Linked DNA regions of Oryzias latipes. The protein of the gene in region 1 interacts with the protein of each later gene in a biochemical or structural test. Links are inferred from orthologs where the notes say so. Each region holds a gene or a part of one and is shown on either strand. Other genes may lie near its edges.

What was found.
Region 2: the proteins of nr4a3 (region 1) and six3 form a complex in vitro, tested with the Homo sapiens proteins (3 studies listed by BioGRID). The link is inferred for Oryzias latipes from reciprocal best matches to the Homo sapiens genes NR4A3 and SIX3.

What each region holds. Positions count from the first base shown.
Region 1 is NC_019874.2:17,605,795-17,609,614, forward strand, and holds part of nr4a3 (nuclear receptor subfamily 4 group A member 3), read left to right. Parts: 5' UTR 1-96; intron 97-671; 5' UTR 672-689; coding exon 690-753; intron 754-3,225; coding exon 3,226-3,820. UniProt on the Homo sapiens protein: Transcriptional activator that binds to regulatory elements in promoter regions in a cell- and response element (target)-specific manner.
Region 2 is NC_019873.2:16,155,154-16,159,656, forward strand, and holds the start of six3 (homeobox protein SIX3), read right to left. Parts: upstream 2,908-4,503; 5' UTR 2,785-2,907; coding exon 2,093-2,784; intron 489-2,092; coding exon 296-488; 3' UTR 1-295. UniProt on the Homo sapiens protein: Transcriptional regulator which can act as both a transcriptional repressor and activator by binding a ATTA homeodomain core recognition sequence on these target genes.

The DNA.
Region 1 (3,820 bases):
AGCCCTTTGCGCTCCAGGTTCAACGTCCCGGCCGCAGCCACGTCACCCCTAAACCCCGGACACCCAGCACCATTCAGCGCGAGGCACTTTCACCAGGTAAAGCAAACCACTGAGATGGTTTTCACTTTCATTTCTTTTTCTTTCTTGCTTGCTTTTTTCCTTCTTTTCTTTCTTTCTTTTCTTTTATTTTCTTTGCTGCTTAAAACAGACCTGGAAAGTCATAAATGTTGCGTTCTATAGAACTGCAAACCAGCACAAATTAGCTAATTCTTTCCTTCACTAAAAATTCAGAAACAATAAAAGGAAAGTGAACGTTTCTTCATTTATTTTCCTTTGAGTGTGAGTGTGTTTGGAGGGGAGGGCATCTTTGCTGGCAAAAGCTGCAGCCAAAGGTTGATAAAGCCACTAAATAAGGAAAGAGACACAAAAAAACAGATAAATCATGATCTGTTTGTCTTTGTTTTTCTGCATATCCATAAACATGTTTTTCAATCATTGTTGTGTTGTGTACTAAATGAAACATCCAAAAACATAAAAATCTCTCATTGTGTATAACTGCATTTGTGTATGTGTGTTTTTTTACATTGTGTGTGAGGCCAGCTGATTTGAAGTCATCTTGTGTGACACGGCTGCTGTATTCAAACCTGCACCTTCATGTTTTCATCTGTTAGATCTATGGCATTCTGACAATGAACAAGCGCGCTCAGTTATTGGAACAGCTGCAGTTTGTCCAGTTGAAATGCACACCTCGAGGTTAGAAACTGTTTCCCTTCGCCTCATGCTGCTCACTTTTGTCTGACTCTGCTTGGGTTATCTGTCCACTACCTGGCACACACTCACACATGCATGCAAGAGTGAAAAGGGCAATCCGATGGTGGTGTTGGAGTCAAGAGGGTTTTACTTCTTTTGGTGATATGCATTGGCAAACCTTGAACTACATGTGCGTTTCTGTTTAAGGTAATGTGTGATGGTAACTGAGTGTGCTGAGTAAGGGCTGACAGAAGCTTAAGATGGTAAGACTTGACACTAGGTCCTTGAGGGGCAACAAATATTACCACAACAATCACAAAAAAGTTACACATTAACACAGTTAAAATCATTCAGTCATGTTGTAAGCTCCAATAATCGGACAAACCACAAAAGATTTTCATCTATTCTTAAACGTCTGCACAAAAAAAAAATCATGTTCAGCCCTGCTTCACCAGCTGGAGGCTGTGAGCTGTTAGAATGTGGCAGGTGCAGTGTGTGGGAAAACACAGTCACACTAATGCCCACTGATCTAGGGTTTGACCTACTGACACAGCACTGCATTCAGCCACATAGTTCATCACTGCCCTCTTGCCTATTTTACCTCTTTCTCTATATAGTCAAGTCAGTTTAGTTTTGTTCTTTTTAAAAGGTCCCTCTGACGCCCTCAGGTTACATGTGTATTTTAACACATGGGTTAAAGAGATGGTCACTCCTGGAAGAAGCAGAGGGGTAGAAAAAACGCGATGACGTCAAGCAGACGTAGGCCGAAAGCTTGACTCATATCCTTAATTACAAAAAAACTGTCTGTCTAGTATTGTCATTGAGTCGTAAAGCAGACTCGTGAATGGCTGCTCCTGTTGACCTAGGCCGCCTATTGTGTGTCATTGAGTGAAGACAGACGTGCATTTCTGAAAAGAATGCAGGAAAAGCGCGGTTTTACGCACGACTTCTTGATAGATTCATCACTATAAGTCTTTTTTTAATCACAATCTTAAATTAAGTATAATTTATTTTAATTAATGTAAATATAACAAGAAGAAGTTATGTATGTATATATATATATATATATATATATATATATATATATATATATATATATATATATATATATATATATATATATATATCTTGCCAGGTACCATTTTTTTTCGCAGCCTCATAAATTCGACTTTTAAGTTGCACATGAAGGACATTTATATCTTTTAAAGTTAAAATAGGCATTTAAACTTTCCTAAATTCCCAGTTGTTTTTTGAGGAAAAATTGCAGATTTCATCATGTTGCAGAACTTTTATTTTTGCTCAACTTATTGAAGCGTCGAATAATACAACTGAAGGGCTATTTCCTTGAGCGTTCCTGCACGGGAGGGGTGGATGGGGAGTCCTGCTTGGGTGGAGGTATGTGTGATGTCGCTAAAAGCAGGAACGACAGGTCCAGCATTTGACTAGACAAACATTACGCGTGGAGGTTATGGCGTTACGCGCGCATGCAGAGCGTCAATGGACGCAGCCGCGTGTTGACTTTTCTCTGCGCAGGAGCGCCGAGCAAACATCACAAAAGCCCACGGCCGCTCCGGCGCTCCTGGCCGCCTGCGCACACACGCGTGCACTCAGAAGCGCACTAACGCAGGTGTTGAGAATTACATAAGAGGCTTGGTATTATCGGACCGTAAAGGCTGCTCTGCGCGCGCAGTTCAAAGAGGTGGTGCCTTCTCCTATGACATGAGTTATAATTAAATCAGAGATTAAACTCAAGACACTGAATATATCTGCGTCCATATCCGCCTTTTTTTCTTGCTTTTGTACAGTATAGCATCCAACACCGCCACGGGTTTTCATTATTATTTCACATCTGCTTTGCCATCTGACTAACCAGAGCGCCTTCACCCACACGCTCGTGCACACACACGCACACACATTTGCAGTGGATTTGTTCCTTCTCTCATCAGCTGCATCTTCTCTCACCAAACTAACTGTGAGTGAATCAGCAATGTTTGAGATCCTGCTTGTGTGTGTTAGTGTGTGCACTCCCTATAGTGCTGCTATTCTTACCCAAAGCAAGTGCGAGAAATGCTCAAGCAAAATATCAGTCTATAGGAAGATTTTTTCACATTTATTGGACATTGTCTTTATCATTTAAAAAAATCATCACTTTAAGAGCTGAAAAACCGCCTGTTCCAATAGAGCTGAGCAGAAATTAGTCATTGTTGATTGCTGGCCCTTTATAGCACTTCCAATGTGTGCATGCATCTAATATAGTCTGCCTTTTCCCTGTAGATTTACAGTAGCAACATCTGTCCCCCAGAAGCCCTGCCTCATTTTTAATATGAATGTAACAAAACTGAATGTAAGATTAATTGTCTGCTAATGAATGTTCCTGTAAGCTACTCCTGTACTAACAATCTGAAAAGTCATGAAGCCCGTGGCTCCTCTTGCCATGCAGACCTAACCTCTCCCCGTGTTCTGTCTCCCCGGCAGACATGCCCTGTGTGCAGGCTCAGTATGGGCCCGCCCCTCCAGGCTCAGCGTACACTGGCCAGTCCTTCAGTTACCAGGGTGACAGCTACGGTTCTGACCTTATGACCCCTGACTACACCAAGTTGGACTTGAGTGGAAGCGAGATCTCAGCCGCTGCCACCACTTCACTGCCCAGCTTCAATGTCTTTGTGGAGGGGAGTTATGAGCCCAAATCTTCCTGCCTTTACCAGATGCCCCCACACAGGCCCATCATCAAAAAGGAGGAGGAGAGCTATCCAACTGCTCCACCACTGGAAGTCATGTCCTCCTCTTCCATGTACTTTAAACAATCCCCTCCTTCCACCCCCACCACCCCATCTCTGCCTCCACAGCCCAGCACATCTTTCCTTTGGGAGGAGACATCCATGGTCCCTCAGTCACACCCTCACTCCCTAGGCTCAGGCCTGGAAACCGGGCCCCTCAAGTCCCCTCGCTTCCCACACTTCTACCAGCACTCGCCGCCTCACAGCGGGAACATTGGAGGCTATGACAACCTGGGAGGGGGACTGGTTCGAACCTCCTCATCTTCCTCATCATCATCATCATCGGTGTCTCA
Region 2 (4,503 bases), on another chromosome or scaffold:
TTCCTCTGGTTCTTGATGGAAAATCTTGCATTTTCCCTGATTACAAAATGAAAAAGAGAAAAAAACATCATGCAAGTAGTCTATTAGTGTTGGGGTATGAAGAGGAGGGGTCCTTTGAAGCGCTTTAAAAAACCGACGTGCTTTTATCTCTTTTATTTTAATATTTATATCAATCGGTCCTTTTTTCATCCACCATATTTCATAAGTCTTTTTTTCTTCCTCTCAGGTCCATTTTTCCTGTAAATAATTCTCTTTTTGTTTGTTCTTGTGTGTGTGTGTTTTTCCCCCTTGCGTATCATACATCGCACTCTGAATCGCTGGATGTGACGGACAGGATGGACGTCCCAGTATCAACTCTCTCTGTCATACTGGAAACGCTGGTGGTGGGACTGGCCGCGGTGGAAGGCGACTCCGCCGAGCTGTGAGGGGTGAGCCCGGCCTCTGAGAGGGACCTCATACCGCTCGGTCCTATTGCTTGGTGCTGAAGCCTAAGGAAAAGAAGCGAGGTGGAGGGGGAGAAAAGGAGGAGAAAAAGGCGAGAGAAATAGCAATTAGACCTGAGAATGTGCACCCCCGCTCCCTTCCTCCTCCTCCTCCTCATAGTGCAAAATAGGGGTTCAAACTCGCCTTTCTTTTCCCCTGCCGGCCCCAGCCATGCATGCATGCTTTTATTTATCAAGCAGCCAGCTTTCAGGGGACACAACGCCGCGCTGTTTAGACCAGCAAATGTTGGAGCAAATGTAATGGAGTTCTGCTGTTGTTGTTGTTGTTAAAGCACGTCTTGTGATCGCACAACACTTCGGGATAAATGAGATGTTTGGTGTCAGAGGAAAATAGAAAACCCAACTTAGTTTTGTCCACACTTTCTGTCCTTGTCCTTGGATCTATTTTCTAACCCTTCAGTTGTTTTCAGTTGACACCTAAAAACTTTAAAATCAAAATTATTATTATTTTATTTATTTTTTTGCAAAATTACGCAACCGCCTAGAAGCTTTGGCAGCTGATTCAGATGGAAGTGCATGACTGGAGTGGTTACTCCAATCATCCTGAATGTTTATCTCTTGTCCACTCACGATAATAACTCCATCACGACGGGATAATGTCAGTGCCGAAATAGATCTATTCATTTATCAAAAAGATTAGAATAGTGTTCATATGGCTTAGTGCTCTCTGGGGTATTTTCCAATCAGTTACAGCATTTCAGCGGAATGATACAACTACAATATCAACAACGCAGCCCGACTTAGACGCCTGTTCTCTTTAGAAAAGTATAAAATCAATATTCTTTTTATTAGTATTGTGCGTTTGGCTGCTCAGTCACTCTATGTTTTACATGAATATAACAAAGGCACCATAGTTCATAAAAAATAATTGTATTTTATACTTAAAAAAACAAACAAAATAGTTTTAGGTGGAAAAACCAAGCAACAGATTTTGTTTTAGAGACTGTAAAAAATTCAAATATTTTTGCAAAAATATTTTCACCTTTTATTTACTTCTCTTAATCAACTGCAATTTTTAAAAATAATCCAAAGGATATTTTTAGCTTATTATATTGATATTTTAATGACATTATTCATGATAAATTAATTAAAGTTAAGATTTCTCTTTTCTCATAACTTTGAATAATTTTACCTGTTTTGATTAAGGACTTTTCTGGTTGAAAAAAAAACACAATAAAATTTAATTTTTAGTTTTTAAAAGTTTGTTTTTTCTAGTTTGTGTTTTCATTCATGTTTTTCAACATGATCTAATAGGCATAAGTTATTTTGACTTTATATTTTAGGCTCCTAAAATAAAGGAGTTTTAAAGACTATTCATTTAATTTTTACATTAGAAAAAAAAGCCAAAACGTACATTAAAATTTAGGAAAAAGTGTGAATTTAAAACCGCCGTAAAAGTGCAGCTTTTATCCGGATTTGGCTTCATGTCAACAATGTCGGCGCAGCTGCTGCTTCCGCCTGACTGACAGTCAGTATTTTCTAGGATAAGCTTTTGAAAACCTTGCAGCATATTGAAATATATATTTTTCTGGTTGTCCCCCAGAAAAGTGAGCTCTTGTGTTTTACTTCCCGCGCGTAAAAACACCGACCTGTTTTTGGCTGCTGCCGCTCTGTCTCGTTGCCTCCGGTTTTTAAACCAGTTCCCGACTTGTGTGGGAGTGAGTCCTGTGGCTTGAGCCAGTTCCCTTTTCTTGCTGGGGTTTGGATACGGGTCCTGAAGGTACCACTCCCTCAGCAGACTCCGTGTCCGCTCCTTAAAACAGTGCGTCTTCTGCTCCCCGTCCCAGATGGTCCGAGGCAGCGGAAACTTCTTCCGCACCCGGTACTTATCGACCGGTCCGAGCGGACGACCGCGAAGTTTCTCGGCCTCCTGATAGTGAGCTTCCAGCCACATGGCCTGCAGTTTGCCGTGCGAGTCCTTGGTGAACTTGTGGTTTTCCAGGATGTGATAGAGGTCTCTGAAATTCCCCGTGTGGAAAGCTACCACGGCGCGGGCGCGCAGGATGGACTCGTGTTTGTTGATCGCCTCGCATGCTCCCGGAGCCACAGGCAGGGACCAGAGGAAACGGCCCAGTCGTTCGATGTCCCCGGTCTCCTCCAGCGTCTCGCAGACGCTTGCCACCTGCTCCGGGGAGAAGTTGAGGGTCGGTAGCTGAAACATGGACAAGTCTTCTGGAGACCTGGTGGTGGGAGCGCTGTTCGCCAGGAGCAGAGGGCGATCAGCGAAGTTAGGCAGGAAGAAATGGGAGGGATAAAGCTCTAAAGGCGATCTGAAAACCATGGAAATGACCTGAGAGAGAAAGAAAATTATCGAGAAAAAGAAAAACCGAAAAATACGGTAAGTAAAAAAGATTCAATGATTCAATGGCTATCGCCTAATGACACCAGCCTCATAATATCTCCCCCCTAAATCCGCCGTTGAGTGTAGCATTGAAACATTTTGTTTCCCTTTTCTATTGGTCTTCTTGGTGTCGTTGTAGCGTTGTCATGGCAGCCCTGCCAATCACTGTCAAGCGTGCCAATCATTAGCCAGTACGTAGCGCGAGGCTTTCACCACTTGTGCAGCACGCACGGGGGGTTATCAGAGTCTAGGATCTCCACAGCAACCCTCCCACCGCACCGCGCGCATCAGGCACAAGCCAATGCTCGCCTATCTGCTGAATGGAATGAGCAATTAGAGGGTGGAATATTATTGCGATCTTAACGAGGCTCGTTAAAGCTAAAGAAGATATGTAGACTGGAGATGCTTAGTAGAGACGGGGAGGGAGTGAGGGAGAGGGAGCTTTAAATGGGGGACAAATGGACAACCAATGACTACAACTCGGGAATTTTGAATGGAAGCAAGTCAATCTGCACATTATTTCCATGCAGATTTCCCTATAGCGAAGACTTTTAAAAAAATTTATTTTATCAGATAATTCATTTTTGAGCAAAACGAAAGGGGTTTAGCCAACTTCCAATTTATGTCTTTAAGATATTGAACTATTGCATAGTTTTTTTTCCTTTAAAAAAATATCTAGATTAACTTGAAGGGAGAAAATTTGTATGCGTTTTTCTCTATACTCTCAGCTGGAATGAGTGGGCTTTTGGGTGGGTGCTGGTTCGGGTGTTTGCTGGGTGACGCCGCTCCCCCTCCTGTTGTTAGCGGCCCTGCTTTTGGGTCTTTGGGTGCATCCTCTGCTCGCTGCTTTTTCTCAAAAAAATTTTTTTAAATAAAAACTAAAAAGAATAAGAAAGGTAATGTTATGAAAGAATACAAAGCAATGTCTCAAGCCTTTTTAAACAGTCCCGGCTCCCAATTTAAACAATTAGCCTGGTATTAGTATTACAATCGAATGGCAACATAAAAGATACTAGGCACATAAAAGCAGTTTCTTGCATTTGATCTGAGGCTATAAGGACAACATCAATGTCCCCATGCATCCAGTCACAGGATTTGGCTTATAGAGCGGCAGCCAAAGCGGTGTGATTTTCATGTTTATGGCTGAAACTGTTTCATGTTTAGACAGGGTTTGCAAGGTGTTAAAATAGTGTGGGTTCACTATAAAACGAACAGTGATCACATTGTGAGAGAACCGTGTACAAGGCGTAGCATCTAGACTCCGCTTAATCCGTCCTCCATAAAGCTGACATAATGATCCTAAGCGCCTTTCTACAAATTCATTCAGGAATTCAAAACTTTCTCCGATTTGGACATTCTCTGGAAATGTTGACCTCAGCCCCTCACTTTGGACAGACAGTGAGTGAGTAGACCAGCTTTACGCGCATGCATGGCAAAATACCTGTTTATCATTTGTCCCCAGTGGGATGTTTGAGCACTTTTACGCATTTTTACGCACGGGAGTACTCCAGCTTCTAAGTGCGCGCACGTGTTTTGTGAAAGTGTCCATATCTGGTGGTGTGCGTGATAATATTAGCAAGGTCAGGAGTATGGTTTGCGCCTTACCTTTAAGGCTGGTGGCGCGTGCTTATGTGGGGGGTGGGGCAGCGTAGGGGATCA